7 linked regions of the Nothobranchius furzeri genome follow. The main gene of each other region encodes a partner of the protein of the gene in region 5 in a complex. Links are inferred from orthologs where the notes say so. Each region holds a gene or a part of one and is shown on either strand. Other genes may lie near its edges.

What was found.
Region 1: cwc27 (region 5) and rbm48 share a complex: the UniProt entries of both Homo sapiens proteins name them as parts of the minor spliceosome. The link is inferred for Nothobranchius furzeri from reciprocal best matches to the Homo sapiens genes CWC27 and RBM48.
Region 2: cwc27 (region 5) and snrnp40 share a complex: the UniProt entries of both Homo sapiens proteins name them as parts of the minor spliceosome. The link is inferred for Nothobranchius furzeri from reciprocal best matches to the Homo sapiens genes CWC27 and SNRNP40.
Region 3: cwc27 (region 5) and gpkow share a complex: the UniProt entries of both Homo sapiens proteins name them as parts of the minor spliceosome. The link is inferred for Nothobranchius furzeri from reciprocal best matches to the Homo sapiens genes CWC27 and GPKOW.
Region 4: cwc27 (region 5) and cript share a complex: the UniProt entries of both Homo sapiens proteins name them as parts of the minor spliceosome. The link is inferred for Nothobranchius furzeri from reciprocal best matches to the Homo sapiens genes CWC27 and CRIPT.
Region 6: cwc27 (region 5) and bud13 share a complex: the UniProt entries of both Homo sapiens proteins name them as parts of the activated spliceosome. The link is inferred for Nothobranchius furzeri from reciprocal best matches to the Homo sapiens genes CWC27 and BUD13.
Region 7: cwc27 (region 5) and rnf113a share a complex: the UniProt entries of both Homo sapiens proteins name them as parts of the minor spliceosome. The link is inferred for Nothobranchius furzeri from reciprocal best matches to the Homo sapiens genes CWC27 and RNF113A.

The regions. Positions count from the first base shown.
Region 1 is NC_091759.1:22,195,775-22,200,094, forward strand, and holds rbm48 (RNA-binding protein 48), read left to right. Parts: upstream 1-1,435; 5' UTR 1,436-1,450; coding exon 1,451-1,579; intron 1,580-1,730; coding exon 1,731-1,921; intron 1,922-1,992; coding exon 1,993-2,138; intron 2,139-2,222; coding exon 2,223-2,752; intron 2,753-2,847; coding exon 2,848-2,910; 3' UTR 2,911-3,833; downstream 3,834-4,320. Other genes in the region: peroxisomal ATPase PEX1, read right to left, coding at 906-1,013. UniProt on the Homo sapiens protein: As a component of the minor spliceosome, involved in the splicing of U12-type introns in pre-mRNAs.
Region 2 is NC_091759.1:20,973,085-20,977,422, reverse strand, and holds snrnp40 (U5 small nuclear ribonucleoprotein 40 kDa protein), read right to left. Parts: upstream 2,956-4,338; 5' UTR 2,823-2,955; coding exon 2,712-2,822; intron 2,088-2,711; coding exon 1,958-2,087; intron 1,885-1,957; coding exon 1,791-1,884; intron 1,699-1,790; coding exon 1,533-1,698; intron 1,422-1,532; coding exon 1,299-1,421; intron 979-1,298; coding exon 858-978; intron 785-857; coding exon 702-784; intron 557-701; coding exon 495-556; intron 401-494; coding exon 297-400; intron 223-296; coding exon 173-222; 3' UTR 47-172; downstream 1-46. Other genes in the region: zcchc17 (zinc finger CCHC domain-containing protein 17), read left to right, coding at 3,891-4,029. UniProt on the Homo sapiens protein: Required for pre-mRNA splicing as component of the activated spliceosome. Component of the U5 small nuclear ribonucleoprotein (snRNP) complex and the U4/U6-U5 tri-snRNP complex, building blocks of the spliceosome.
Region 3 is NC_091755.1:41,971,901-41,976,122, forward strand, and holds the start of gpkow (G-patch domain and KOW motifs-containing protein), read right to left. Parts: upstream 2,839-4,222; 5' UTR 2,628-2,838; coding exon 2,332-2,627; intron 2,175-2,331; coding exon 2,014-2,174; intron 1,785-2,013; coding exon 1,639-1,784; intron 1-1,638. Other genes in the region: membrane-associated guanylate kinase, WW and PDZ domain-containing protein 3, read left to right, coding at 3,771-3,853. UniProt on the Homo sapiens protein: RNA-binding protein involved in pre-mRNA splicing. As a component of the minor spliceosome, involved in the splicing of U12-type introns in pre-mRNAs.
Region 4 is NC_091756.1:43,772,578-43,777,036, reverse strand, and holds the start of cript (cysteine-rich PDZ-binding protein), read left to right. Parts: upstream 1-1,648; 5' UTR 1,649-1,789; coding exon 1,790-1,805; intron 1,806-1,963; coding exon 1,964-2,029; intron 2,030-2,312; coding exon 2,313-2,367; intron 2,368-3,153; coding exon 3,154-3,257; intron 3,258-4,459. Other genes in the region: pigf (phosphatidylinositol-glycan biosynthesis class F protein), read right to left, coding at 981-1,208. UniProt on the Homo sapiens protein: As a component of the minor spliceosome, involved in the splicing of U12-type introns in pre-mRNAs. Involved in the cytoskeletal anchoring of DLG4 in excitatory synapses.
Region 5 is NC_091746.1:63,235,888-63,239,562, reverse strand, and holds part of cwc27 (spliceosome-associated protein CWC27 homolog), read left to right. Parts: intron 1-820; coding exon 821-900; intron 901-986; coding exon 987-1,023; intron 1,024-1,098; coding exon 1,099-1,271; intron 1,272-3,675. UniProt on the Homo sapiens protein: As part of the spliceosome, plays a role in pre-mRNA splicing. Probable inactive PPIase with no peptidyl-prolyl cis-trans isomerase activity. As a component of the minor spliceosome, involved in the splicing of U12-type introns in pre-mRNAs.
Region 6 is NC_091750.1:44,767,932-44,772,105, reverse strand, and holds the start of bud13 (BUD13 homolog), read left to right. Parts: upstream 1-1,356; 5' UTR 1,357-1,400; coding exon 1,401-1,540; intron 1,541-1,664; coding exon 1,665-1,755; intron 1,756-2,267; coding exon 2,268-2,352; intron 2,353-2,420; coding exon 2,421-2,657; intron 2,658-4,174. UniProt on the Homo sapiens protein: Involved in pre-mRNA splicing as component of the activated spliceosome. As a component of the minor spliceosome, involved in the splicing of U12-type introns in pre-mRNAs.
Region 7 is NC_091745.1:10,008,306-10,012,440, forward strand, and holds rnf113a (E3 ubiquitin-protein ligase RNF113A), read left to right. Parts: upstream 1-1,363; 5' UTR 1,364-1,417; coding exon 1,418-1,523; intron 1,524-1,823; coding exon 1,824-1,903; intron 1,904-1,975; coding exon 1,976-2,074; intron 2,075-2,329; coding exon 2,330-2,437; intron 2,438-2,527; coding exon 2,528-2,637; intron 2,638-2,719; coding exon 2,720-2,826; intron 2,827-2,916; coding exon 2,917-3,006; intron 3,007-3,078; coding exon 3,079-3,172; intron 3,173-3,241; coding exon 3,242-3,348; intron 3,349-3,434; coding exon 3,435-3,502; 3' UTR 3,503-3,566; downstream 3,567-4,135. UniProt on the Homo sapiens protein: Required for pre-mRNA splicing as component of the spliceosome. As a component of the minor spliceosome, involved in the splicing of U12-type introns in pre-mRNAs. E3 ubiquitin-protein ligase that catalyzes the transfer of ubiquitin onto target proteins.

The sequences.
Region 1 (4,320 bases), on a different chromosome or scaffold from region 5:
TATGTGTTAAAGGACCATGGCTGCAGTGTGTGTGTGTGTGTGTGTTTTAATGCAAACGATGCAAGGAAAGGGAGAGAGAAAATGAATAGGGAAGCGGGAAATCAGTGGATCACGGAAATGTGGAATAAGTGCAAAGAGCAGAACAAGGAGAGGGTGGTGAAGGTCCCACCAAAGCCTGAACAGGTGACTTTTCAGCTGCTTTTTAAAGGAGACCACTGAGTCCACTGATCTCAGGCTCAGGGGGAGAGAGGTCCACAGTCTGGGGGCCACACCAGCAAATGATCTGTCACCTTTGACCTTTAGCCTGGTGCTGCACAACCAGTTGGCTTTGATCACTGGACCTCAGGGACCTGCTGGGGGTGTAGGGACTAAGAAGATCACCAATGTAAGATGGTGCTTGTCCATGTAAGGCTCTATAGACCAGAACCAGGATCTTGAAATGAACCCTGAAGTTGACTGGCAGCCAGTGAAGCTGGAGGAGAAGCGGGGTGATGTGGGTGCGTTTGGAGGACTTGGTCAGAAGCCGAGCACAGGCGTTCTGAACCACCTGTAGACGGTTCAGGGAGGTTCTGCTCAGACACGTGAAAAGAGAGTTACAGTAGTCTAAGTGTGTCTCTCTAAGTCTCTAATGCAGTAAAATAAGGCAAACATAGATGTCAAGGAAGCAATTCACCTGAAAATCCTAAAAACCAGCAGCTGTCGTTGATTAGGTAACTGTTTGCTTTGCATGTTTATAAAATCTCAAACAAAAGTACTTTCATCTGAGCATAAGACAACCCGGCTAGTCGTTTAAAAACTGTCATCTGTTTATGCTAGCACAGACATTATACATTAAAACTAAGTCTTAACGTACAGAAATGATCTAAAAAGCAGTAAATCAACATGAAATTAGTTAGCTAACCTACCTCGTTCAAGGAAAGATGCGCTACCAACTTGGAAGGGAGGTGAAGAAAGCAGTTTTTTGTGTTGTTAAAAACGACACGAACGGCTTGAATTCCCTGGTTGCTAAACATAATTTTCGCATTGCTAGCTAGCTTAGCATACACCAGGCAGAGAGAGCAATTGGATTTATCGATGTGCTCTGTGGACGATGGACTCCTCACCAGGCAAAAGTAGTTGATCTTTTGCTTTCAAAATAAAAGAGTATTCTAACAGGCAGCGCGACGGTATTCACTGAACTGTAAGCATTTATTTTGAAAGTGTTAAACCGGAAGCGCAGACGCATTCACTGAACTAAAAGCGTTTATTTTGAAAGTGTTAAACCGGAAGTGCAGACGCATTCACTGAACTAAAAGCATTTATTTTGAAAGTGTTAAACCGGAAGCGCAGACGCATTCACTGAACTAAAAGCGTTTATTTTGAAAGTGTTAAACCGGAAGTGCAGACGCATTCACTGAACTAAAAGCATTTATTTTGAAAGTGTTAAACCGGAACAGCATTTAGAATAAGCATGGCGGTCCCTGTAAACAACAGCTCCGGTTGTTGGAAAGTTCCTGACGTTCACAAACATCACGAACAGCAGAAAGTTTGCATTTCTCGACCAAAGTATCGAGAAGGAAGAAGAGCTAAAGCGGTTAAGGTGAGACAATCTTAGAAGTTATTAATTTCAGCTAAAATGTTCATAAATTCTGTAAAGAAGACACACAAGATTTGCTTTAGCTTAATTGGTAACATCATTCTAATACTGCACTGAACGCAGGAAATGTAACTTTAGTCTTGTGAATTTCCAGGTGTACACCATTAACCTAGAGTCCCGTTTCCTGATGGTACTGGGAGTCCCAGCTATCGGTGTGATGACGGAGCTGGTCCAGCTGTGTGCCCTGTATGGTGTTGTGGAGGAGTACAGACCTCTGGACGAGTATCCGGCTGAGGAGTTTACAGAAGTCTACCTCATCAAGTTCCAGAAGCTAACCAGCGCCAGGTACGATTTATTCGCTCCTCATACTTTACTGGAAATACCTGCTTAATCGTTATCGAATGTTTCTGTTTCAGAGCAGCCAAACGCAACATGGATGAGAAAAGCTTCTACGGCGGTGTGCTGCATGTGTGTTACGTCCCAGAGTATGAGACTGTAGAAGACACCAGGCTAAAGCTACAGGACCGGAGGGGTTATGTTATGAGAGCAGCTCGGAGCAGAGGTATCGTTTAACATCATGTTTGATTTAGTTCTGACCTTTAAATGTTGCTTTTCAATGCTTTAAAACAAATCTTCTCTTACAAAGCAAAAGCGGCGCACAGCGAAGGCTCCGCATCATCGACGACTGCATCAGACATAAACGTCAGACACGATCAAACCTCTAAAAAAGAATGTGCAGAGGATGCTTCAAACCACAGCCAACATGCAGAATTCCCTCCTCTCCCATTACCTCCATGGGAGCAGCATCCCTTTGGACATAACAGTCCACATGGGATCAGCGCACAGGAGGACAAAATGGGAACTTTACATGATGCCATCATAAACTTGAAACAGCCCCAAGTGGAAAAGTTAAGCGTTAACCAAGCCTCAGAGAGAGACCACGACACAGAACACAGACTGACCTCAGATCAGGCTTCAGCATTCAGGTTTCTCCCAAGGTCCTCGCACTTGGAGATCAGGAAACGCAGAATGGAAGAGGCTCCCGAGCAGTCGGCAAGTGTTTCTGGAGGAACCGAGACCCTGATTGGACCGAAATTACCAGAACCACCTAAACTGGACATGAATGATGACTCGTTGAACACAACTGCCAGCCTGATCAGGAACACAATGAAACAGGTCATTGTTGATTCAGTACTTTAATAATTTCATAAAAAGTAAATCAGCCTTAATGAAGGATTAAAACATGTGAATCTTTTTTTTTTTTTTTTCAGGTGGGATCTGCTCCGGGTTTCAAAGCTGTTGAGAAAAAGACAAAACCACGTCGTCGGATATGATCTGGACAGGTGTCTAGATGGGAGTCTTGGAAGAAAACCGACGCTCCCACTGCTTCGGAAAACTGTTTATCTCATCGGCTGTTGTATGCTATGATACCAACCTGTATAAAAAAGGTTAAAAAAAACAGCTATTATGTAAAGAGTGCACAAATTTACATTTAGAAAGCTAAAGAAATACTAATACTGTGTTTCCTATGTGCATGTTGCCGTGGCGCGCCACTACGGAAAAATAAAAGCTGCCACACCTTCAGAAGTAAACAAAAAAAAAACTTCAAACAACGTACCTTCAGAAACATTTTTTTTGGATATACATTAAAACAATAACGAGACATATATAGTCTATATTTGTGCATGTGTACTAACCATAGTCACAGTTTAAAATAAATTTTATTGCAACAAAACTTTAAACTGCAGTTCAAAAAGATCTACCGACCGCTAAATTAGCGAGGGCGCACCGGTGTGGTGAAGTCACCTGAGGACAAAACAGGTGATGCGCTTCGCTCCGCAGCAGCAAAACGCATCGGGCACAAATAAAAGACAGGAAGCATAAAAAGGACACGAGTCGACATAAACAATCGTGTGTTATACGTGGAGACACTGAGAATGTTACTGTCGCCATGCTCAGGACACCGCTCTGGTGCGCGCCAACCATCAGGAGGTGAGCGAAGGAGAGACAAGTGGAGAGGCAGAACAAGGACCAGCATGCATAAGTGAGCATGATGAGGGAGAGAGCAGCAGGGAAGCGGTAAGAGGGAAGAAAAAAGTCAGCACAGAGAATCTGGCTGGGACCCAAAATGGACAGAAATCAAGTTCCGCCCATGGCTGTAATCAAGGTGGGAATCAAGCAATACAAATTATTTCAAGGTAAATATATTTTTACATTTTTTTTATTTAATTGTAATTAAACAATAAGCTGATTTACACACCTGCGATGGACTGGCTCTCTGTTCAGGGTGGCACCAGCCCCCAACCCCCCACCCCCGCGACCCTACATGGACAAAGCGGGTTCAGACAATGGATGGATGGATGTTTTACACACACCTGCAGGAATGTTCATCGAAAAGCATACTGCTCGTGTCTCAGAGCGACCGTCTCCGCACGTCTCTCCACCACGGTTTATCAAAATCGTAGAGGAAACCCTGAGCATGTTATTTTATCTCACACTGTCAATATTTTAACTGCTAAAACTTTCTGCATATTAGGAAAATCTTGAAATCCTTCACATGGGTGCAAATTTACCACCAAACAAATAAAATGGTCACAAAAACATTAGAACAGTACTAATTAAAGAAAAATAACAGCCCAAAATAGACTTTTACAAAAACAACAATTATATTATCATCAATATATATGTGTATGTGTATAAATATATAATACATATGTGTATGTATGTATATATATATATATTTT
Region 2 (4,338 bases), on a different chromosome or scaffold from region 5:
GCTCCCCTACTGAGGAATCGGTGCTTCAGATAAAAAAAATAAACTCTTTTATAGAATAATGACATTTATTCAAAAGAAATATGTAAAAAACACAAGTTTAGTCTTAACTAAAGCTTGAGAGACAGGCAGACCCCGCCCCACACACACCCACACACACACACACACACACACCTTATTGGATTTCACCCATGTACAGACGTTTATCACTGGAGCCAGACAGCACTGCAAAGACACAGAAAAGAATAAATGAGTGACTTTTTCTTGTGTTTGGTTCCGGTTCCTGTTCTGTCGCTCACCTATGGGCTCCTCTGGGTGAAACACCACCTCGTTAACAGAACCGGCGTGGCCCGGCAGCTTGTAGAGGATCCTGCGAGACGTGGTGTCCCAGATGTACACAAATCTGTAGCAGACGCACAGAGCGGGGAACAAAAGTGGCTCTCAGTGCCTTATCTTTACTCCGTTTGGGTTTAAAAAGTCACCAAAGCGTTTCTCACCGATCGGCTGATCCTGCGGCTACTTTACTGCCATCAGTGGACCAGGAGCACCTCAGCAAGTTCTGAATAAACAGGAAAAGAGGACATGAGAAGAACACAGACCCGGAGCTTTCACAGCTAAAAAGCGGTTTTCTTTAGTCCAGATATGTACGACTTCTCAGATTGACCTAGAAGTGAATTGTTCATTTGTCTGCTAGTGAAGATTACCTTTTCAAAGTTGTGAACATTACCCTGGAAAATCTTCACGCACCTCTCCTTGGGTGCAAACGGCCGCACGTCCCAAATTCGCACTGCAAAGACACGCGAGACTCTTTGAGGGATGCGATTCAAGCACAGATGAGCAGGATCAGAAGCCGAGCATACCAGTGTTGTCCATGGAGTTCGACAGAAGGTATGACCCCTCGGAGCTCAGGCTGAGCCCGGTTACAGAGTCCCCGTGTCCATGCATGTTGTAGATCAGCTTGTTCTGTCGCAGATCCCACACCTGAGCAACACAAAGCTTTCAGATCAACGACCAGGAGAGAATTTTAGGCTGGAGCCGATTTGTTGCCTTCGACATTTCACATTTTTGCAACAATCAACAAAAAATAAACTTGCGTTTGGAGTTGAAGCAAACAAAAATGTAAACAACCAAGGGCTGACAATAAATCTCACTGAACATCTTCAGTCAATCAACTTTAAAATGGCTGAAACAGAGCATCACTGCAACCATCTGCTGTTGTTAAAGGGATTAAAATGTTTAGTCTGACTTTCTTCAAGATAAACAGTTTAATGAGTCCCTTTAAGAAAAACTGTTTTTTTAACCTTGATGTCGTTGTCGATGCCTCCAGACAGGATCTGATCACTGGTGTCGTTAAACGTCACGGCCAGAACCTGGTAGGTGTTCTGAAAGGTGTGGATGGCTCCTTTTTTGCGGATGTCCCACAGCTAGAAAACAAAAAACATCAGGCTAAACAAAACGTGCAACAATGTAGGTGTGTGTGAACGGTGTGTGTTGGACCTCATTTTCACAGCAAAACACCCAGAAAACAGCCTGACCTTGATCGTCCCGTCGTCGCTTCCTGTACAGACCAGCTGAGGACCTCGGCGAGCTGGATAGCAGGTGTTAACAAAGGAGGTGTGTCCCTTCAGACGTTTGACCCTCTCACCTGTCTCGCTGTCCCACACGCCAACAGTCTTGTCCGTGCTGGCTGAAAACAACAAGCTGAACCACACAGACACCTCTGTATCACACTTCTGACTCAAGTTCCGCAATAATCCACCAGATATTAGTTGATCATATTCCACCGTCTCTACCTGCCATCTGTGTTATAATGCAGCTCCATCACCGCTCCGCTGTGACCCTTCAGGGTGGCGTAATTCTCACAGTCTCCATACACGTTCCACAACACTGCAGCATGGTAACAGAGATTTTAAAGCGGTTTTAACAAACATATGTCTGCTACTGTTTGACACAAACTTACATATGAGTCTGTCGAATCCTGAAGAGGCCAACACAGCTCCATTGGGGTGAAACTTGCAGCAGTAGACCTCCCCCTCATGGCCAGACATCAACATGATGGGAGCCTGCATGCTGGAGGTGCGTGGATGGCCCTATGGGGATCAGTGATTTAGGTTTGCAGCATTATGGTGCAGAAACAACAAGTGGTACTTTACTTTAAATGCATACGAGCTGGATGACTTGCTGAGATCTAGCAAAGAGAGTGAAGTAAATGCTCCCTTTAATCATGTAGGAGCTGGAAGTAGATCCTAATTGCACCAGTGGCAATTACAATCTGGTGTTTCCTTAAGCTTGCATTATGATAAAAGGTGATATCTGTGTATATATATTTTACCTTTGATGCACAAGTGAACTCTGATCATCTTGACAGTTTATTTATTTATTATATATGCTTTGTTATTTGAATCAAATATTAAAAAGGAAGGCTGTTTTAATAATAAATATTGTTACCAATAAAATACATAATTACAATAACCAACACGCTCTTGAAAATAGTTTTTTTGCATATTGAATTCTATTGTCAACTATTCTGATGTTTACATTAATCATGAAAACGTGACTAAATCTGCTTACATGGTCCGGTTAATGAATACATAAGTCCCCGGCTAGCATAGCTTGCCCTTTTCTCAAACTTAAAAACATAACTACTATAAAGGTGGTAAGTATGATTTAATCTTGAATGTAAACGCAGTCGGATGTCACCAGGGCTACGTTACCGTGGCCACGAGCTGCTGAGACTGAGCCGCCGCTACTAGCTCCATCCGTGGCCGCTTCAGCGCAGTGGGAACCATCGCCATGTCTCCGGGTCTCTTTAGAGGTTCAATCATTGCGGGGAAAGTTAACAAAAAGCGGCTAAATAGAGTAAATGCAAAGCTAAAACTTAGTAAAATTAACGGACGTCTTCGACGAAAGACGTCTGAGGAAACAAAACCACCAAAGAAGACAGACACTGAAGTACTTCCGGGTTCAAAGCTCGTGATTGGTGGAAATTTGCGCAGGCTGCAGTGATTGGCTGATTTTCTTCCTGGCGTCAATTTGACCTGGAAGTATAACTAGCACAGTTTAGTCGGTGGAAAAGGTATTGCAATTATTTTTATTTCTTAAGAGTTAGAGTCACATTACGCAAAATATATTAATTATAGCACAATTGTCTGGTTTACTAATGTATCATAGAGCAGTTTAACAGGAATAGGTTAGAGGGTTTTATGTAAACACCAATGCTCGTGTTGCGTTTATCCTGTTCATGTTTCCAGAGATATTGTCTCCTATAGTTTTTACTCCGCTCGAATTAATGTAATGGAAAGTGAAGTTTGAGGTAAGATAAATCCATGTTTTGAAAATTAAAACTGATTTACAATATTAATAATTCTATTTGTTCGTTTTTGAGATTAGCCTAGTTTCTTTAAATCTGACAGCTGCAATTTTTGTCTGTGTTCTTTGTTTTTATTTATTTTTTTGTGTTTGGTTCTCAGTCTGTTTCACATGTATGGAGTGTTAGAAAATATGCAGTTACCGTTTAAATAAAATTTAGACCATGGCTGGTCTTTTTAGTCTAGTTTTAATATTATTAAACTGGGTTATTTGAGCTTAATTCTTAATGAAAACGAAGAAAAAACATTTTAATTGAAGGATAACTTCAACTGAACTTGATTTATTGCCTACTCCTGACTTGTGAAAACATAATAGTTGTCGTAGAAAGTAGTTTTATGGATTTTTATTTAATAATTTTTATTCACAATATAAATACTTAAATTTATTCTGTTACTTTGTAAAAGGAACAATATTGCTTTTATTTTGGGTTTCTTTAACTTTTCCTCGTCTTTCGTCTTTTATCTGTGTTGTGTTATTGAATTGAAATATATTTAATCCTCCAACTGTTTGCCCAGATTGAGACGATGTCCAACCGTGACCGCTCGAGTCGAGAACCAGCCGGGCTGGATGGTCTGCCTCCGATGTACAGCATCGCCAAGGGAGAGGTGGTTTCAGTGCAAACATATGGAGCTTTTGTTCGACTGCCTGGTTACAGGAAGGAAGGTTGGTAGAAGGCTGAGAGCTTGTAATCTTTAAAAATGAAATACCAGTATTAGTAATATTAACCAGCTGAGTGAAGTGAGTCCTTTAAAGCAGTAATGGATCTGTAAAAAGAAAAATAGGAGATATTAGATGACTACAGCTAACTTTATATTTTTTATTTAAAAAAAACGTTTTCATTTAATACCATATATTATAATTTTAGTAGCAGATGCAGCACTGGGAAGCATCAACGGCTAAAATAGGAAGAAGTTTGTCCCAAACTTTTTATACTTCATTATCTCTGATGATAAATTCTAATTTTAGTGGTTG
Region 3 (4,222 bases), on a different chromosome or scaffold from region 5:
AGCATTTTCACACACTCAAATTTCAGCAGCCATTCTCCAGTAGCAGACGTTTTGTACTGTCAGGTGTTTTCGTGCCCTCACTGAGGCACCTGTCCAGAAGATTCTATCACAACCTTCCCGTAGCATCCTCAGACAGATAACGAGCTCAGACCGACGGCCTTCCTTCACGTCCGTCAGGAAGTGAAGTTTAAAGATTCGTTTGTTACTGATGAAATTGTCACTGCTGATTTCTTCAACCTGTCAGCTTTTTCTGGATTTAACGTGGTTTTTACAGTTTTCACTGTCAATTACACAACCTAGCCGGTTTTAAGTCAGGCACATCCCCAGGCAGCCCGGCACTGCTGCAGGATTTAATTGTATTTTTATGTTCCTGAATAGCATCTGCTTTAATTAATGCTCTAAAAATTATTTCCACCAAAAATAAGAGTTTGTTTACCAGTTTTGAGCATTTAATACTCGGTCAGTATCCTGATTTGTTTGATTAACTTTAGTGAGACGTCTGGTTTTAACACTGAGCAGTGCACAAGATTAAAATTTAACAGTTAAATTTAGTGTTCAAAAACCGATTCAGCTTCTGAAATTTTGTGCATTTACTGGTGTTACCTGTGACATATTAGCATGAAAATAGGGCGGAAAACATCTAGACATGAAAATCGGCACAGAACATTGGCAACACTAATCGTCCATCAGCTGTCCGTAACCTTTACACGTCGGTATCGGCAACAGAAAAACCATTATCGGTCGAACTTTACTTTTCATGGTTTGCTGCTAACATCACAACCAAACGTCTGTGAGGTGGTACAATCCTTTAACAAGCTGACGAAGATGATGTAAGCATGCCTTTTGATTAGGAATGTGTATTTTTGAAATTCTTGTGATACGATACATATCACGATACAGGGGAGACGATACGATATTTCACGATATATTGCGATACATTCAGTCAGACGTTACAAGCAATTTTTTAACTGAATTTATTGTAAGAATGTTCAATAAACAGTCCAAACTGATACGTAACATGTTTAACATGAGGTATCTGAACCATGATGGAGGGATTTACATTTCAGTGGTGGAAACAAAACCCGCTGCACACTGCTGCCAACTAGCGGGTGCTGATTGAATTGCGCAAAACGAAAATACACAAATGTTTGCATGTAAATTCTTTCAGGAATTAGATACACGGCTTTTGAATATCGATGTAATAATCGCAGGAAAAAATATCACGATATATTGCCACATCGATATTTCCGATACACGGCTTTTGAATATCGATATAATGTTGCTGGGAAAAATATCACGATATATTGCCATATCGATATTTTCTTACATCTCTACTTTTGATGGATATTGGTAGATCCGGGTGTCAGATTGCTGCAGTAGCATGTACACGTGCTTTAAATTAATCATTAAGATAAAGAATAATTTTGCTGTACTTTACTAAACCTTTTAAAGGTTTATTCCATTTGTTTTATAAATCTAAAGGTTCTGGTTTGTTGCATTACTGACTATAACAGATGGCTTGACTTAAGCTGCTCTAACAACAAAATTGTGAATAATTAATTTTTCTATCTTTTCTCATTCGTCTGGTAAACTTTGCATACTCCTAAGTCTCTTACAGCCCGTTCTGTCCCCACTTACAGATTCAGGCCGCAGGTCCACCTTTACATGGTCTCCATCCTCAAAACCCTCAGGGACTTTGTTCTGCATCAACAGAGGGATGGAGAGGTCCAGGCTTCTGTTCGACTCTGCTGCATTCTGCCATTGCTCCAGCTGCCTCCGTGAATCTACAAGCAGAAACACACAACGTCACTGATAAAGATGGTTTTCTTAGTGTTGGGTAGGAAAGTAAAAACTGTCTAATACACACACAAACCGGCCATGGAGCTCGTGCTCTTAATTGTTTTACAGTCTAGCAGGAAGACACTTCCAGGATGGGCTCCGTTTGCGAGGGGGTACACATTTTGACACGCAACCATTCATTGTCCAACTTCTGCATCTTTTTCAACCACAAACCTTCAATGAGTTCTTTGACAGCTTGAGACTCCACCGAGTCTTTGTCTTGGACCGAGCCGCGCGCTGAGCCTCCACTCGGGTCCGCTCGGTCCGGTTTGTGCCAGCGGTTCTTCTGGATCAATGGGATGATGAGCTCTTTGGGCTTCTCGGTTGGCTTTGAACTGCCACGGAAGACAAAAGTTAAATCTTTAAAGTGTCCCGGGTAGATACATTACACACACCACGTAAAAGTGTGGTCAGTCAGATTTAGAGTTCAAACGTCACCACTCCGTTTACAAACCACTGACAGCTTTAGCCTCTAGCTAGCGGTTAGCCTACCTCTGTAACTCATTTCGGTCGATTCCAGTCAGGTAATCCTTCTCGTCGGTCTTGGCTGGAATGCCGCCGGCTGCGGGTTTAAATTTGCTGACAGTTTTTGTGAAACCAAACGATACCGCCGCTGCCTTTTTATCTCCTTGGTTCTCGGCGGCACCTGAACCGTCTCCGTGCGACGCCATGATTGTTTGTGGAAGAAGAACGATGAGGGCGCAGTGCATTCTGGGAGATGGGGTTGCGTTAACGAGCCCGATAACCACTCTAGGCTGCAATTGACTACAGATCCCATCATGCCTCATAATAAGAGTTCTTTAAAGGTCGCAGGCAATCCGAGATTTACTGATTTATTTGTGAAATCCGTTGGTTATTAGTAACTAAATAATATATCAAATCATTTAAAGTAGTTAAACAGACGGTAATTACACTGACACTTGATTTAAAATAGAAAGGTACTGATGTTTAACACTTTCATTGTGAACATGTCTAGACTTGCAGGTCTATTTTTGAAAAGCTGAAACATCGCTCCGTTGAAGCGGTCATCTTGTAAACCCCTATAGTTTATCTGGAGCTTTTTAGTCTCCTGTAATAAAAAGAAACAAGAGCTGAATGAGTTGGATTAATGCGTGGGTCTGACTCCTTTAAATCGCAGATAGTGAAGCGGACTCTGGTGCTGCTGATGCAGGTGTGTTTTAGGCAGAATGTGGGCGGGGCTTTTAACTCCTCCTCCCAGTGCCTCCTGAGCGCCTGAACTTGTGAGGTTAACCTTTTCATTAGCCATGTAGCCTAATGTTGCTGTTTTTTTCTCCGCATTTGCATGTCAGCAGCATGAGCGCAACCTTATTACTATTTCCGCACCTGCTTTTGCGCAACCTCTGAAGTTCAGCGACACCTTTATTTGCTGAACCCGACATTTGTATGATTTTTTGGGGGGTAATTCGGGCTTTTTCTGTATGCATGATGGATAAACGATGAGGCGCAGAGAGTGAACATGGGGGTAAGAAACGCACTGTTCTCTTTGCACAAGTTAAAACCTCCCGTTTGGGTCACAACCATCCACGCCTTCTTGTTTTTTCCTCCTTTCTCCTTTTTGCTCGCAGCAATGTAGCAGCTGCTGAAATTATCTGCGACCGCCGTCAAATCTGCCCGATAGTGTGTGTGTGTGTGTGTGTGTGTTTTATTTTCCTCTCTCTCTCTCTCTCTCCTGCTCTCCCCGCTCTCTCGCTCTCCTCAGCTCCCAGAGCATCACTAGTGTCCAAACATCCCGTCAGCCGTGCGCATCGGCTCTGACTTTCTCCGCTGGCTCCGGCTGATCGCCTTTCATCTCATCTCCTCCAGACTCCAGACTCTTCCTCGCTCCTCCTCCAGCTCCTGCTGTTGCTCCAAACCAAACAGGTCGCGTTATTTATTAAAGTGCTGCTCCTTTTTTAACCTCGGCAGGGTCAATGTATATAGACGCGTTCAAACGGATCCTCTTTGAAAGGCTGAACTGCTTGAAGAGAATGTGTGTGTGTCAGCGGCAAGGCAGGTCAGTATTCAGTCTAAATATGAGAAATCTGAGAATCTGCTTCGTGTGTGTGTGTGTGTGTGTGTGTGTGTGTGTGTGTGTGTGTGTGTGTGTGTTTTGAGAGTTTCTTGATAGCTTTTCTATTTTCTTTATCGGTTTCAATCGCCTTCCTCACAAATTGCCTTAATGAAAACTAAACAGAAGCTCGTGCTCAGTGCACCTGCACCCCCTTTGCCATGAATAATAGACTGATTCAAATACTCTGTGGTTCACAGCCAGGTGTGTGTGCATGCATGTGCATACAGGAGCGTGCACAAGTGCCCTGCAGCCCTCTGTATGTGTGAGAGTGTTTGTTTTGGGTGTGTCCCAGCTCGTTTGGGCAGCTTGTTT
Region 4 (4,459 bases), on a different chromosome or scaffold from region 5:
ATGTGTTGCTTCTTGAGATTTTTTTGCCTGCTTTATGAGACATGTTCTCTGAAGTCATTTCTAGAAGAGGCAAATGAACAAAACGTAATTCACGATTTAACAAAGGTGGAGGTACTTCCTTTGTTTCTTTGTACGCTTTGAGGTGACTTATGTTGTGAACTGGCGCTTTATGAAAAAATTAAATTTATTTGCCTCAAAGCAAGAATGCTGCAGGTTCGAATCCTGCCTGCATGGCCTTTCTGCGTGGAGTTAGGATGTTCTCCCCATGCTTGTGTGGCCCTTCTCCAGTAACTTGCTTCCTCCCATGGACCAGACACATCCATGAAAAGGGTTCAATAATGACTCTAAATAGTCTCTAGGTGGGAGAGTGTATGTTTGAATGGTTGTTTGTCCTTCTATATGACTGGAGACCTGTCCAGAATGTCCCCTAGCTCTCATCTGATGATGATTAGCGCTAAAGATGAGCCGTTTAGATCATGGATGAACCGAATTAAAATGAAATGAAACTCGGATGGTTTTGTTAGCTCTCTTCCCTTCATAAAGGACATAATCCTTTGAAAACTGCATTTAGTTTAGTTTACTCAAGTTCTCTTTGCCTGATGTTGAAATTTGTTTGATCTGAACCATTTAAGTGGGACAAAAAATTAAACAAATAATATATGAAATGTGTTAAGAGACAATTACTTTTTTCACACCTAAATAAAATAGATCATAACAAGAAACGCTTACAATTTCTACTTTTTCATCACCTCACCTTACAATATCCAAAACTTACCTTCATTTTCACACATCTATTAAATTTAATTAAAAAGCAAGTTGACTGATGTCCATTTCCCTGTCCAAATAATAATAATATTAATAATAACAAACGAATACATTTTGTAAAATTCATAAGATACCTTCACATATCACATAATACATTTATATGTCGAACATAATCAACAATTCACTTTAAAAACATTATCTAGTTGTTTTGGCACCTTGTATCCCAGTGTGTGCTTTTTGGTGGGCGGTGAGATGCCGAGCAGCCAGAAGATAGCGACGCTGACACAGGTCACCGTACCGGACACCGCGTAGACCCACAGCAGGTGAGTCCCATACACTGAGAAGCCCGGGACAAACACCGCGGGGATGACCGTGGCCATGAACACCGAGGCGGTGATAATCGCGTGAGTAGACGCCATAGCTTTAATTTCATGGTCCCACATGATGAAGACGTGAACTATTTACAACAAGAACCCGATAACGATGCGGGGAAGTCAAATAAAACACCTAAAAAACGTAAGGTAACATTGGGAAACTGTCAGGTCTATGTATTTCTTTTCCGCGTTTCCGTAAACACGAAGACGTAAGAACGTCCGCTTAATTTCACAGTAAAAGTCTACTGCGCACAGACATCTTAGGTGAATGATGAAAAAACATCCGTTTCGAAACATATTATCATAGATTATCGGGTCAGTTTATTTCAATTTCAAGTGAAAAAGGTGTATGTTTTACTTGTTACTCAATCTCTGCTAATGAATACGCTTGGGTTAAATAAGGTAAAAGTGCTTGACTTTATCAAACATTTATTTTGAAGAACCTATAAGCAAATAAACGGGAAGTAGTAAGTTATAGTTCGCGTTGCGTAACTCAATTGTTTTAACCAATCACAGAAGATGTTACTCGTTAAAGCAACCAATGAAACCTGTCATTTGAAATGCCTCAGCTGACCGGACGTTTACATTAGCAAAGCAAGCTAAAGCTAACAAACGATCATTTCTACTGCGTCATTCGACACACCGCAAAGATGGTCTGTGAAAAGTGTATGTATGTCATTTGCTTCTGATTTTCAGACGTATTGTTCATTTTAAAATCTGATGAACGTTACTTTTGTCAGCGAAAGTCTCAAATGCAAACTAGAAGGCCAATAGTTTAGTTCTTATTGTATTTTCCTCCATAATTGTTTTGTTTTATATTTTAGGCGAGAAGAAACTGGGAAAAGTAATTACCCCCGACACTTGGAAGGACGGAGCACGGAATACAACAGGTGACCCGAGGAATGCGTAGTGAAATGTTTTTTTGCCATCAGTATGATAAATTGCTGTTTGTTAATTATTCTAGATATGAGACTTGTTGTCTTGTTTACAAGTTACTTTTGAAAATGTAATCATTGTTTCTATATTTTTTCACGTTACTAGCAGGTTTAGTCCTCATTTGGTTGATCACGCCATAATATAAATTAATTGGTGTTTATTTTTTTTATATTAGTATAGGTATAGTAACATTTAGATGTCCGTGTTTAACAAGTTTGTCTTCTTTCTTTGTGTCAGAGAGTGGAGGACGTAAGCTAAATGAGAACAAGATTTTGACATCCAAAAAAGCCAGGTGAGTAAAAACAATTTATAGAAAAAAATAAACTTTAATTACAACAATCTAATGAATGTAAATACAAATATGAGAAGTCAGAGAAAATATTCTAAACGCATTAATATACTTATCTTAAAATTACCTTCTTGAAATTGAACCAAAAACTGTTATTTTACTAAAGTTCAACCTTATCATATAAAACTTTCTCACCACCATATTTGCTTGGGCATACATTTTGCTGCATTGGCACAAATCACCACATGAATCATCATTAATCATCTGTCCTTAGTATTTTACTTTATGAACCACGTTTAAATCCTGATCTTCTTCATTTCTTGCAATCATAACAGTTGATTTTTACATCATAGCTGGAACACACTCTTAAGTAACTGTTGCAAACCTGCTCTGAAGAGTAAAAGACCATCAAATCTTCAGCAGTCATGAGATGATTGGTCATTATTTCCCCATTCATCCACTCTTATGCTCTCTTAGTTAAATAAAACTTAGATCGTCCATATACAAGTTAAAGGGAATAGGTGACAATATCTGGTGAACCTTATTAGTAACAGAAAAGGAGTAGCTCTCATTTGGTTTTTAGTCTGATTGTAAGATTTGTATAGAATATGAGGTGACACCTTGTTCTTAAATCTTCCTAAAAAGCCCATCATAATGAACTCTTATCTGAACTATTCCTCAGAAGAAGTCACACAACGGTTTAGCTACTGTTTTTCAATGTTGTATATTACTAATTCAAAGTGGTCAGCTGATATAACTGGTCATGTGTGTAACAATTATTTTCATCAGGTTTGACCCTTACAGCAAGACTGGCTTCGCAATCTGCAGGATCTGCAAAAGCTCAGTTCATCAGGCTGGATCTCACTACTGCCAGGGCTGCGCTTACAAGAAAGGTATGAAGTGATTGTGCTGAAGATTTAGTTTTGTGTCACAAAAACGCTACAGCATTTCTATTAGCCCTTTTACATAAAACACACACACACATGCTCTCTATTCAACACCCTGCTGAGTTTTTCACATGTAATCATGTCACCAACAACATTATCCTTTTCCTCTGAGACAAATCCATCTGCATCCTATAGGAAAACGTGACAGTAACTGGGACGAGTTGTGAAACTGCAATGTTTGTCTGTTGTTGAACAATTCAACTTGTGACTTTTCTGCTCAGATGTTTTCATTTTTCAGTGTGTCTTAGTGTCAGAATCCGGAGAAAATTACAGCCTCACATCAACAGAGACTGTACTTGCATAATCTAGAGCCATTCTCGATAGGTTTGTTTGAATACAGTGTGTTTGTACTGTATTTAGGCTGAATGATGAAATGTAAACAGGGCTTTATCTAAAAAGGCATATCTTGATGAACATTGAAGCAAACTGTCTTAGTTGCAGGAAATGAAAGAGTGGAGTGGCCATGTTTCAGATGGTTCATCAAACATGGAAGATGCTCAGTGAAACAAATCATCTTTATAGTTTGCTGAAGTTTTCTTTTTTATTATAATGATTTCAAGGCCTACGTGTCCCATTGAACCTGCTGCCTTTGGTATGTCTTCATGATGATGCCTAGGTAGACTCACAATTAGGAATAGGGCTGCACGATATTAGAAAAACCTGCGATATTCGATAACAGTGTTTAATATTGCGATATCGATATTACTCACGATAAATGAACAAATACTAAAGTATGCAGTGTTGATGTCGTCTGGCGTGTGACGTCTGCTCTGGGTTCAAAGCAAACAAAACTAATGCATGAATTCCATTACAACATAACATTTTTATTGCAAAAATATGCAGCTGCACCTGCTACTGTATTAGTAGCAAAACAATAAACTGCATGCATGCAGTTTCTCAGTGACTTTAAAACATCACCTCCACCATAAAACTTTTTCTGATGCTCCAAATGCAGAAAAACATCCCTTACCAGGGTTTTTGAATAAATAAAAAAATATCAGAAAATAAGTTTAAATGTTAAATAATAGTTAACATCACTTAAATGGAACAGCAAATTCTCTCATTGCTACTGAGCATTTTCTCCACTTATGTGGTTATGATATAAGGCTGTTGCTGCTATTGGGAAGTGAACTGTGCTGGGCCAAACT
Region 5 (3,675 bases):
TTTTCAAGACCCCCAAAGATGCTTTCACACACTCTCACATTCACACACTGCTAGTGATGGTAAGCTACTTGTAGCCACAGCCGCCCTGGGGAGGTCTGACAGAGGCGAGGCTGCCATTTGGCGCCGTCGGCCCCTCTGACCACCACTAACACAGGCGAGTTGGGTGAAGTGTCTTGCCCAGGGACACAACAGCAGGATACCCCTGGCGGGAGCTGGAATTGAACCCATGACCCTCCGATCATGAGGCAACCCGCTCTACCACCTGAGCTACTGCTGCCCCAATAAATAATAAATTACCCACACTTGTGTAGCACCTTTCAGAGTCAAAGGACTCCAAAGCGCTTTACACTGTAGTGCATCATTTATCCATTCACACACACACATTCATACACTGATGGTGATGAGCTACATTGTAGCTTCAGCTGCCCTGGGGCGCACTGACAGAGGTGAGGCTGCTGTTCACGGGCACCTCCAGTCTCTCTGACCACCACCAGCAGACAAGGCAGGTTAAGTGTCTTACCCAAGGACACAACAGCAGAAATCTCGGTCGGGAGTCAGGATTGATCCTTCAACCCTCTGATTATTGGACAACCTGCTCTGCCTCCTGAGCTACTGCTGCCCCTGCTTATCCACTTCCTGTGTATGATAACAGCCATGAAACTCACGCAACAGGAGTGAGAAAATTACTGTTTGCTTATAAAATGGCCAGCAGTAACCTATTTTGACCACAGGATGTCAGTTTTACATCATTCTTACATATTTCACTTATAGGTTTATGTGTAAGTAAAAAAAAAAGTGTCAAATTTTTCCATTTCTTCAGACATTTAAAGGAAAAAGCAAAAGCAGCCACGACCTTCTGAAGGACGATCCCAGACTGAGCTCAGTTCCAGCTGTTGATAAGTATGAGTCGTAAATTATTAATTTATCACCACTAACCTGGAATTCTTGCTCTCTAATGCTAAAGTCGAGTTCCCTTACTTTTAAAGAGACAAAGAGAAGGGGGCATCTGGAAACGACAGTGATGTAAGTGTAAAGGAAAACTCAAAAGATGTTCACAGCTCTGAGTTTGTGTTTTAATTCCACCCTTTCTTTCTTCAGTCAGACAACGAGGCATATGATGATGAGGATGACGCATGTGCAGATGAAGAGCATGATCCAGAAAGGAAGAAGAAGATAAGAGAACTGGTCAGTAAAAAGCTCAAGAAAGAAAAAGGAGCCGAGAGCTCAGCTGAGCCCAGAGAGGAGGAGCCTGGGAAGAAAACCAGTCGCAGGTACGGTTTTTAGTTAGAAAAACTTAGCAGGTTCTCCACATTCTGCTTTAAAACATGTAATATACTACTATGGCCTGATGGGGGCACTGCTGGCCTGTTGAACACATAAGCCACATCCTAAGAACTTGTGGGATGAATGCAAAATAAGCTTCACTAACAAAGCAGTCAGTCTTCAAAGAAACACATTTAGACTCATTTCTATGACTCAGAGGGGAAATAATGTGTTCATCAATGTCTGTTCTGTTTTCTTTTGACGAGATCAAGACTGTTTGTCTGAGCTATAATTTAAAATCCTGGTATATGCATCTTAAAATCAAATGAGACCGTCTAAAGTTCATTTCAGAGAAAGTTTGATAAGTTTGAGTTGGAAATAACTGTTAGCTGTGCCAGCCCTACCTTTAAAGTCTACGTAAACATGAAGGATAAAGAGGGATTTTTATCCAGGTCTTAAAAACAATCTTAAGCTTGTTAATCAAACCACTCTGTGGCAGAGAGTAACCTCCTGAACATCCATCTTTCGTCTGGTTGGGTTCGGATGGGGTTGTGGTTTGTTTGCTAAAATATTTTGATGTGCACAAAGGAATGTGTTTTTTACAGTTTAAAACAGCTGCTATGCAAAACGCCATTACTTAGAGGAACACATTTTGTTTGTCATGTGGAGCTGGAGAGAGAATATGGAAAAAATGTAATTAATTCAGTTGTGTAGGGAAAACAAGCAAACTGCTGGTGATGCTCTTTAAACTGTAATATAGTTTAGGTTGGGTGTTTTTAAGGCACCCTTATTGCTAAACTCCTGTCTCAGTCAGAATTTTGTTTGTTTTTCCTCCTGCTTTGGAAATAAATACAAAAATTAGCAAAAAAAAGTTGTTAAAGTTTCTTCATAAACTATAACAGGGTACCCAGCAGCTCTCCAGCTCTATATCTGACCCATATATACCACTATATCTGCTGATATTTACATGCTTACCATAGATCCTCATTCACAGTAAACCCAGTGATACCTAATGTCGTTTGGGAAGAGCAGAGTTGACCTCAGAGTTTATTGGCTGTTTTTAGCACTGGACATCTTGCCACACTTTCCTCCTTGCACCCTGCTCCTGACACGTCTCCCTGCTGACCTCAGGCAGCACAGAATACTGAAGTCCTGACCCAGGTTGCAAACTGTGATCAGTTTTTTAGTCAGAAGTTTGCAAATTCAGATTTGTTGTTGCCGACTTTTGGTGATGTTAGACGGACATCAACAGCTACAACTATTACTCTTTCTCTGCTTAAGTCATTGTTAGTTTTAAAACACAGCTCTGCTTTTATTTTCTTTCAGCTGAAAAGTCAAACAGTGATGAAGTCACTTCACTTCAGATATAAAATGTCTAAACTATTTAAGACTGACATTTTGATTTTCCACTGGTTCTCATCAGAGAAAGGCCCAATTATAATCTAGCAATATTTAGAAACTTTACTCTCATATTCTTAATTGAATGCACTATTGGCTACTTTTTGCCATGCTGATGGTTTATTTTGGGGTCATCATTCTTAGAGGTCAGAATTTAAAATATATTCTTTTACCACATTTGGTAAAGTCATCCGTAGTCCCTGAAATGTCAAAGTTTCACAGCCCATAAAGGGCTATCTGCTAACACACATCCATCCATTTTTGCCCGCTTCTTTGGAGTCGGTTCGCGGGGGCAGCAGCTTAAGCTGAGAGGCCCAGACTTCCCTCTCCCCAGCTACTTGGGCCAGCTCCTACAGAGGAATCTTAATGTGTTCCCTGGCCAGCCGAGAGACATAATCCCTCCAGGGAGGCGTCCAGGTGGCATCCTTACCAGATGCCCGAGTAGGAATGGGTACCGAATTCGGTACTTTTTAAGGTATCGACCGAATTCCACAGTACCGACCGAGCACCGATTCACTTCATTTGAAACGGTGCCTCATTTCGGTACCGTCCTTCACAACGAGAACTTGCCTAGACAGCTGCGCATGCGCAAGAGCGTTACGTCGTTGGTCGCTGCAAGCGAGTTGTAAACAGAGCAGCATGGTAGAAAGAACGCACGCTAAAGCTTGGGTCCACTTCACTAAATGTGATGGGTAACTGGGTGATGATGAAACCAGCGACAATGATCTAAGTGAGGCATCCTCATCCTAATCTGCTCCGGTAGGTAAATAAAATGTTTAAGATAACATTAGCTTGATTTGTTAGCTTCCGTTTCACTAATGGTGCGTTTGCTTTCTCCTCGGAACTCCGAAATTCCGACTAGAAGAACATGAACGCGCTCTAAAGTTTGGCTTCACTTTACTAAATGCGACGGGTGATTGGGTGAAGATGAAACCAGTGACAACGATTTAAGTGTGAGGCATCATCGTTTAAATCTGCTCCAGCAGTTAAGTAAACTGTTAAAGATAACATTAG
Region 6 (4,174 bases), on a different chromosome or scaffold from region 5:
GAGTGGAAGGATCAGGAAACACAGCCGGCCAGATCTACTCCATAAACAACTCTCTGGCACATAATTGCTCCTATTTACATGAAAATGGATATTTTTGTTGGTAAACTTGCTGTGACTACTTTGTTTGTTTACTTTTGTGCCATGTCTTTTAGGTCTCAGAGGATTTGTTGGGAACTGAAAGAGTTGTGTGATAATCTGGGTTATGAGTCTGAGAGCTTTGACATTCAATCACTTTTATATAAAAGTGATTTGAACTGCACAATTCTTAATGGCTTAAAACTAAAGTACATTAAACTTATTGGGGGTAAAATTGGACCATTTTGCTGTTTTTATTTAAGTGTGTAAAACAGATCTAAACAAATGTTTCTACAGAGCAGCTGCTACATGAGGTTGTGATTGAGCCACCATACACCACGAGATAAAGTTACAGTCATTAATGAGGTAGCAAATAAATAATGAATACAAAAAGGTGCAACAAGGAGGCAACAAAAACTTGTTAAAATATGATAAGAACAAATAAAAAAGATGCAAAACATCAAAGTACATTGTGTGTGTGTGTGTGTGTGTGTGTGTGCGCGCGCGCGTGCGTGCGTGTGTGTGTGTGTGTGTGTCAGAGAGAGAGAGATAGACAGATCCAGGGCCTAAATAAATCATTATGATGACATCACTGAGTTCCTCAAGCTAAAGATCTTAAATCATCACTACTTTTGAGTTACTGCTGGGAACAATAACGTGTTCAGTGTCTATCGAGTAGAGTCAGTTTCTAAATGGAGCTAAAGCATGTCTCCTACAGCACTGACAGAATGGTGATGGTGATAACAAATGTCGTCTTTGTTTCTGCAAATAGAATTAAAGTAAACATTAATTCTTCTTTTTTTTCATTATAAAAAATCTAATATTGTTTTACTGTGCCATCCTTATTTTATCACACAAAATTGAATTGTATTTGTTTTAATCATTTGTATTTCCAAACAAGAATCAAATGACCACTTGTTTTTTTTTATTATTATTTGTATTATTTTTTTTAATTACTGATTTGGTTCCCTGATGAAAGACTCCTATTATCAAAATTAACACTTGTTAATGTGATGCTTTTGTGTCCAAAATGAGGGAAAAAATGTCTGTTTGTCAGTGTTAATTATTCGTTTTATTTTTCTATTTGTTTTATTTTATTTATTAGCAAAAATTAGATGGAAAATCAAGCCATAGCTCATCCATTTTTACATCAAAAAGATAAGCGGCTTGTTTAGCAATTGAGTATTTTCAGTTTTACAACAAAAGCCAGATTATGACTCTTGTGGTATTTTTTAAAAAGAAAAATATATACCATAACAAGGATGGTGGAGCGGTTTACCCCTTTTGATCCTCCGCGCTATCCGTAGTTTCGGACAACAGTCAACATGGCTGCCTCCAATGGCGTCAGTAAAGGAGCTGAGCTTTCTAAAGCTGAGTACCTCAAACGTTATCTGTCAGCCAGCGAAGATGCTAGTAAATCAAAAGGAAAGATAAAAAAGAAACGACGCAAAGTTCCTGAAAAAGGGTGAGTTTGTGAGAGAGTTCTATAAAGTTTCTTTTCACTTGTATGCTAGCTGTTTCGCTAGTCACTGTGTCAGTTATCGCTTTTTTGTTACTTGGTGACATTTATTATTTTCCTTTTATTTCAGACTTAAAATAGTAGATGATGATATAGACTGGAGACAGATGGTCACAGAACCGAAGGAGATTGAAGAGGAGGAAGAAGAAGAAGCTCCTGTGGTAAACAGCTAGCTAACGTTAGCTTTTTCGAAAGACCTTAATTCGATTCAAACGCTTTTAAAGCAAATCTCTCCCTTCAGTAATCTCTGGCAATATTAAGACAGGCGTTCAGTTTTAGACTCCATACATTGGGTTGAGTTTATGAAAGTGTATTCACAAGTTTTTAGACACTAAAACTTGATCCCAAGTGGGTCAAAATACTTAGAATGTTTTTGTGCCATTTTAATAATTTTTGTTTAAAAAGATCAAGAGGAAGATATTTTGCACTATAAACAGGGCTAAACAAGTGCAAAATTATAGTTTTTTTTCTTGCAACAAATAATAATTTAATTTGTGGAAAAAAAATCTTTTTGCGTAATCTGTCCATATAATCCAGGAGGGAAAAAAAGCTGAATTCTGACATAAACAGAGACAAAAAAACACAAACTTTTATTTATTAGAAGGTTCTAATGAGTGATGTTTCCTCAAATGTTATGGAAATGCAATATGGATAAATTTGTGTGCCCACTAAGATTGCTGAATTCATTGACGAGCGACCAGAGGAGGTGAAACAGATGGAAGTCTTCAGGACCAGCAACAGATGGAAAATAGTTGGAGGTAAACGTGAAACACAAACAAAATCTGTTCCTTTGTTTAAGAAAATCATCATCTAGTCTTCCCTGTAGCTGATGAGAACGAGGAAGATGAAACAACGGGGGAACGTGTAGAGTCTTTGGAATCTAGCAAAATTCACCAAGACTCACCGGAGAGGTCATCAAAAGACATGAGACACAATTCTCCCATCAGAAAAGCAAGACATGACTCTCCGGACACATCTCCTCCAAGGAGAGGTCGCCACGACTCTCCAGACTTGTCACCTTCAAGAGGGCATTCAGGGAAATCAGGAAAGGGCCGATATAAAGGTGAGTGATAAACGTTTTTTTCTGTGTCTCTCATGGACAGGCATTTGTTTTAGCATCCTGTTCTCCACCACTGATTGAAGCATATTCAGGGTTTTTCCTGCATTCAAATTCGGCCGCCCCAGCCTGATTTCACTCTGCCCCCAGCTATATGGGTGTTATTTTAACTGCAGTTGCAGCGTTACGCCCCTACAGGGGCGCTGTATCAGCAGCGGCGCACCGAAAAGCACTAAAACCACTGCAGACAAAGAAGATCAAAAACTGCTTTTCTCGCTAGTTACATATCTATGGTTGGTGTTATTGACATCCTGATTTTCCCCCAGGCTCTTCCATATCAGAGCAGAGCTGTACAGTGTGACGAAAAGAACTGTCTGTGCGTGTCTGTCTATGTTTAAACGTAGCACTGGTGCAACATCTTTGAATTACTATTTTCCCCAGAACTTTATTGAACAAAGTTAGTTGCGTGTAAGAAAAATGCTTTTTACCGGCGCAGTGTGGTCATCTGGATGCAGTGGAGGAAAATACAGGAACCAGCAAAGGCAGAACCGGTCCAAAGTTTGGGATCAAAAGTGCAGCTACACGCAGATTGGCTAATGCTAAAGCTAACGGTTAGCAGTCTCACGATCAAGTGGTGCACAGAAAAATATATGATGGTAAAACTAAGAAAGACTAAAATCTACAAGCGGATGAAAAGTCCCCACCATCCTGTTTATTCTGCATCCTGCAGCGCTATGGATCAGAACCGCTGCAGATACGAGTCACATTACTGCCACAATGCTGCAGTCGCCATGGTAACTCTGTCTCCCTATCCCACCCTGGGTGGGACTGCGACCGGTGAAGGCCATTGAATCGTTTCCAGGAGTCACTGTGCCCTCTAACCCACATACCTCCTTCCCCTGTCCAAACGGAGGTGACGAGCGCTGCTTATCGCGGCTGCATGCACTGATGTGTGGAGAGTCCCAGACCCTACCACCCCACCTAGTGGACACTTATGTTGTGTAATGTCTGAAGTCTGTTGCATTTCTGTCTGAGGTGTTTTTTTGCATAGCAAAGCTGCCCTCCCTGTCTCTGAAGTGCCTTTTTTCCCTCCACCTGACCCAATCCTTATGTAAACCCTCCGGGTCGCGAATGACCACAGTCACCAATTCTTGTCATGTGTCTATGCCTATGTATGTATGTCTGATCTCAGAATTGTGTGTACTGAAACTCTAATTTCCCTCTGGGATTAATAAAGTATCTTTGAATTGAATGGAACGGCTATGGCAAGCCGTTGTAGTATATAATTAACAGACGCTTCTATCTTTCAACATAATTTGAACTGGATTATTGCCAACCCGTACATAATAGACATGCCACCATTACATTTTTAGCAGCCAAAATTAAATGTTATTACCATTTCTGATACAAATGCATATTAATGAAATGCATTATATAATTATATAAGTATCTCGGGGTCTTGTTCACGAGTGAGGGTAGGAGGGATCGGGAGATCGACAGGCGGATTGGTTCGGCGTCTGCAG
Region 7 (4,135 bases), on a different chromosome or scaffold from region 5:
GTGTGTGTGTGTGTGTGTGTGTGTGTGTGTGTGTGTGTGTGTGTTCAAATAATAAAGTTAAAGTCCCATAGTCATCATCACACTGGTGAAATTCATCTCCACATCTGACACATCCCGATGGAGAGCAGGGAGCTGCTGCAGTGGCTGCGCTCAGTAATTTGGTTGTTTAACCCCCTAATGCAACCCTTTAAAGCTGAGTGTTAAGCAGGGGGGGGGATTGGGTTCCTTGTTAAAGTCTTTGGTATGACTAGACCGGTATTCAAACCCGATCTCCCAATCCCAGGGCAGACACCTGATAGTGGCCTAAATTGTTTTATATCTGAAATGTTTGAGAAGAAATTACAAACTTGTTAGTTAAATTTCACAATCAAAAAGAATTACTTGATGTTCCTCTGAGTCTACAGCAGAGGGACAATAGGCCACCAGAGGGCGTATGATCTGATGTGTTTGTAATGCTGCTAATAGTTTTTGTTTTAGCGCGTTAATTTAATCTTGTTTAACACAGATAATTATGATACATTTATTAAGCTTCATCGGTTGTGTAGTTTATATAACTGCAGACCTTCTGACCTCTTGTTATTTCTTTTATTTTGAAAGGATTTATAGGAAGTGCTAATTGGTTATGTGTTGTTCAACTTTATGTGAACACTGTAGTAACCGCCTCTGACCGCCAGAGGTTGGAAAAAACCCTACTCTCGAAAGCCAGAAACTAATTGAGTTCTTGTTATCAAGTTGACATAAACAATACATTTAATCACTTATAGACAGATTGTGTTGGCATCAGTTACGTCAAAAGATTATTTAGACAAAAAGCAGTTAAACATAAAATTTTCTTACAAATTTATGTCATTCGTTTTTATTTATTTTTCTTTCTTTTTTTGTTTTTTGTTGTTATGGTTGTTGTTGTTGTTGTTGTTCTTGTGAAGCGCCTGCTCATGATTATTATCTTGAGCGGTCTTGTAAAAGATCGTTTCTTCTTTTTATCAACGACATTTCTAATGGCTATTTTTGTGTATTTTGTTTATTAATCGTTTATACATTTAGTGTCCAATCAAAATGCGTTAATTATTTTTCTGTTTAAAACTAAAATTACCTTTTAAAAATTATTTCAAGTACTACGGAAGAGGATTAAGGCCACTGAAAACAAAGAATAATGATTTAAATCTGAAAATTCTGAGATTAAAGTCAGAATTATCTTTCTGTTCATTTTTTTATTGTATTTTTCTTTTGTTTTCATTGGCCCTCGTCCGTTCTAACATAATATTTTAGGTTTACCATTCTAGCCAGAGCCGCGTTGACTTTGATTTATGGACGGTTGTGAATCTCATTTTGGCAGAAGGAGCGCGTCACGTTTCGCCTCCAGAACAACAGGGGGCGCTACTGCTCTGGCAGCCACTGTTCTTACACCAACAAAAACATGGCGGACCCAGACAAACCAAAAGCAGCTACTTGTACGTTTTTGTTTAAAAAATCCACCAAGAAATTCTCCGGAAGAAAACGAAAAGCAAGTGACAGCGATAAAGGTAGTAAACTATCATTTAGATACATTTCCTTGTAATTTTCTCCTAACTAGCGTTGTCTGTCCTCTGGATAGAATTGATAGCGGCTTCTCATCAGGGAGATCAAAACCGCGACCCAAACAGTTTGTTTATATTATCCTCCATAATAAACAGGACCAAAAACATTATGGTTTATCACCTGAAAGCTACATTTAAACAAAGAGGGGAAGTAACCTAGTTTAATTGTAATAGATTTTGTAATGTTTGTTTACACCAATTGTGTGTGTGTGTGTGTGCGCGTGTGTGTTTGTTTGTTTGTTTTAGATGGCGATAGTGACACTGAACAGACTGCTGTGGTCAGAAAAGAAAAGAAGGATGCTCGAGTCAACCCCATGATTCAAAAGGTAGAGCAGGCAAGCTAATAGATACTTAGTTATGAAGCAGCAACGTGAATGATCTATGTATTCTTTGTTCAGACAAAAAAAGTGGAGAGGGACGCTGTGTCTTCTAGTGAAAGCGAGGAGGAAAAGGGAGACAAAAAGATAACGGTTGCTTACAAGTCTTCCCGATCAGCGGTGAGTTCAGACTGCATTCATTCAAAAATGTCAGAGCCAGACAGTACAAGTCAAACACTGATCTTTTTTCCATCATGGCTCAACCTGGCTGTTGAGACAAAACATACAGGGGCTGAAACTTCACCAGAAAAGCAAATTTTAACATTATTTTACAATCTACAGACCATTCTCATCCACGTACACATGACTATGTGCCCTGAACAGTTGTTTTTATTTACTTTAAAACTTTCTACTGTACCTTGCCTTCATAAAAAGAAACCCGAGGGGCCTGAAGACATGGGTGCAACTGCCACTTATCAGCTGGACACAGAGAGAGACAAGGATGCTCAAGCTATTTTTGAGAGGAGTCAGAAAATCCAAGAGGTAGGACATGCCGCTATTGGTTAATATAAAATGAGAAATAATCAAAATCTCACCTTCGTCATTTGAGCTTTCCCTCCTCTGTCTCATTAGGAGCTAACAGGTAAAGAAGATGATAAAATATACCGTGGCATCAATAACTACCAAAAATTCATCAAGCCTAAAGACACCACCATGGGCAATGCCTCTTCAGGCATGGTCAGGTGAGGCAAGAGATATTCACATGCAGTCAGAAGATGTTGTTCACCTATAGATGCTGAAGGTTACGTTCAATCTGTGCTACAGAAAAGGACCGATTCGAGCTCCTGAACACCTGAGAGCTACAGTCCGGTGGGACTACCAACCGGATATTTGCAAAGACTACAAGGAGACGGGTTTCTGTGGATTTGGGGGTTGGTGAAAACAATCTGAACTCTTAAAACGTTCCTACTGTGAAGTCAAAGGTTTTGTTTATTAATCATGATTGCATCCGTTGCCATTAGACAGCTGCAAGTTCCTCCATGACAGGTCGGACTACAAACACGGCTGGCAGATTGAGAGGGAACTGGAGGAAGGGAGATATGGAGCAAATGGTGAGTAAATAATCGAACTTGAAATCTTCTCTTTTGCTGGCTAGACTAAGTTTCTGATGTGTTTTCATCTAGATGACGAGAACTATGAGGTGAGCAGTGATGATGAAGACTTGCCCTTCAAGTGCTTCATCTGCAGAGAATCTTTTAAAAATCCCATCATCACAAAGTAAGTACTGCGATGGTTTCTCTCCTTCAGTCCTTGTTTATTACCGGCTGGTAATCGCTGTTTCCTTAGGTGTAAGCACTATTTTTGTGAGAGCTGTGCTCTTCAGCATTATCGCAAGTCAAAGCGCTGCTACGTGTGCAACACTCAGACCAATGGTGTCTTCAACCCCGCTAAAGGTAAATGCATTTGCTCAAAAACATCCAAGAGGAGCAGAAACCAAAGTAAACAGTCACACTTGATGTTTTATTGTCATTTATTCTAGAGCTGATTGCCAAGATGGAGAAACGCAACGCTTTAGCCGACCAGCCACCGTCAGACGAAGAAGATTAGAACACGCTTTAGAACCCTCTCTGTGTTTGTCTGTGTACATTTCTAATAAAGTTCATGGCCTCGGTTCCTTTTGTACAATCATGTTGAAACACTGAAGCAGGCCTGGGTTTGTAGTAAAAGTTTTACATTTGTAACACGTTGCTTTGTCCAAACTTTCAAATATACATGCAGACAAAACCAGCACCAAGAAAACATTTACATCTGACGTCAGTAACACCCAGAGAGCCGAAGAAAAGGCTAACTTTTACGCTCTTAATGCTAAACTAATAATTACAACCTGTGCAACAAAAGAGTCTGAACCGTGAGACGATGCATCTGCTGTAGCAGACCGGAGCTAAGAAATGCTGTCAGTCCTCAGAGAGGACTGCTAGGTGCCCTTATGGTCGTCTCCTGGAGCAGACGGACCAAATCGTGTTAACACAAACGGTGGAGCGTCTCCTGGTAATATTACGTAGCAGCATTTCATTGATCCGTCTCCTGACCTTTATGGTTTGGGCTACATCTACCTTTAGAAAACTCAAGAGTTGTCCTTTTGGTTCGTGGGTGTGTGTAGAGTACAATCCGTGTAAATACCTGTGTGAGATAAACCAGTGCAGAGCAAGAATCCGCAAAGAGAACAAAAGTGAAGTGAGT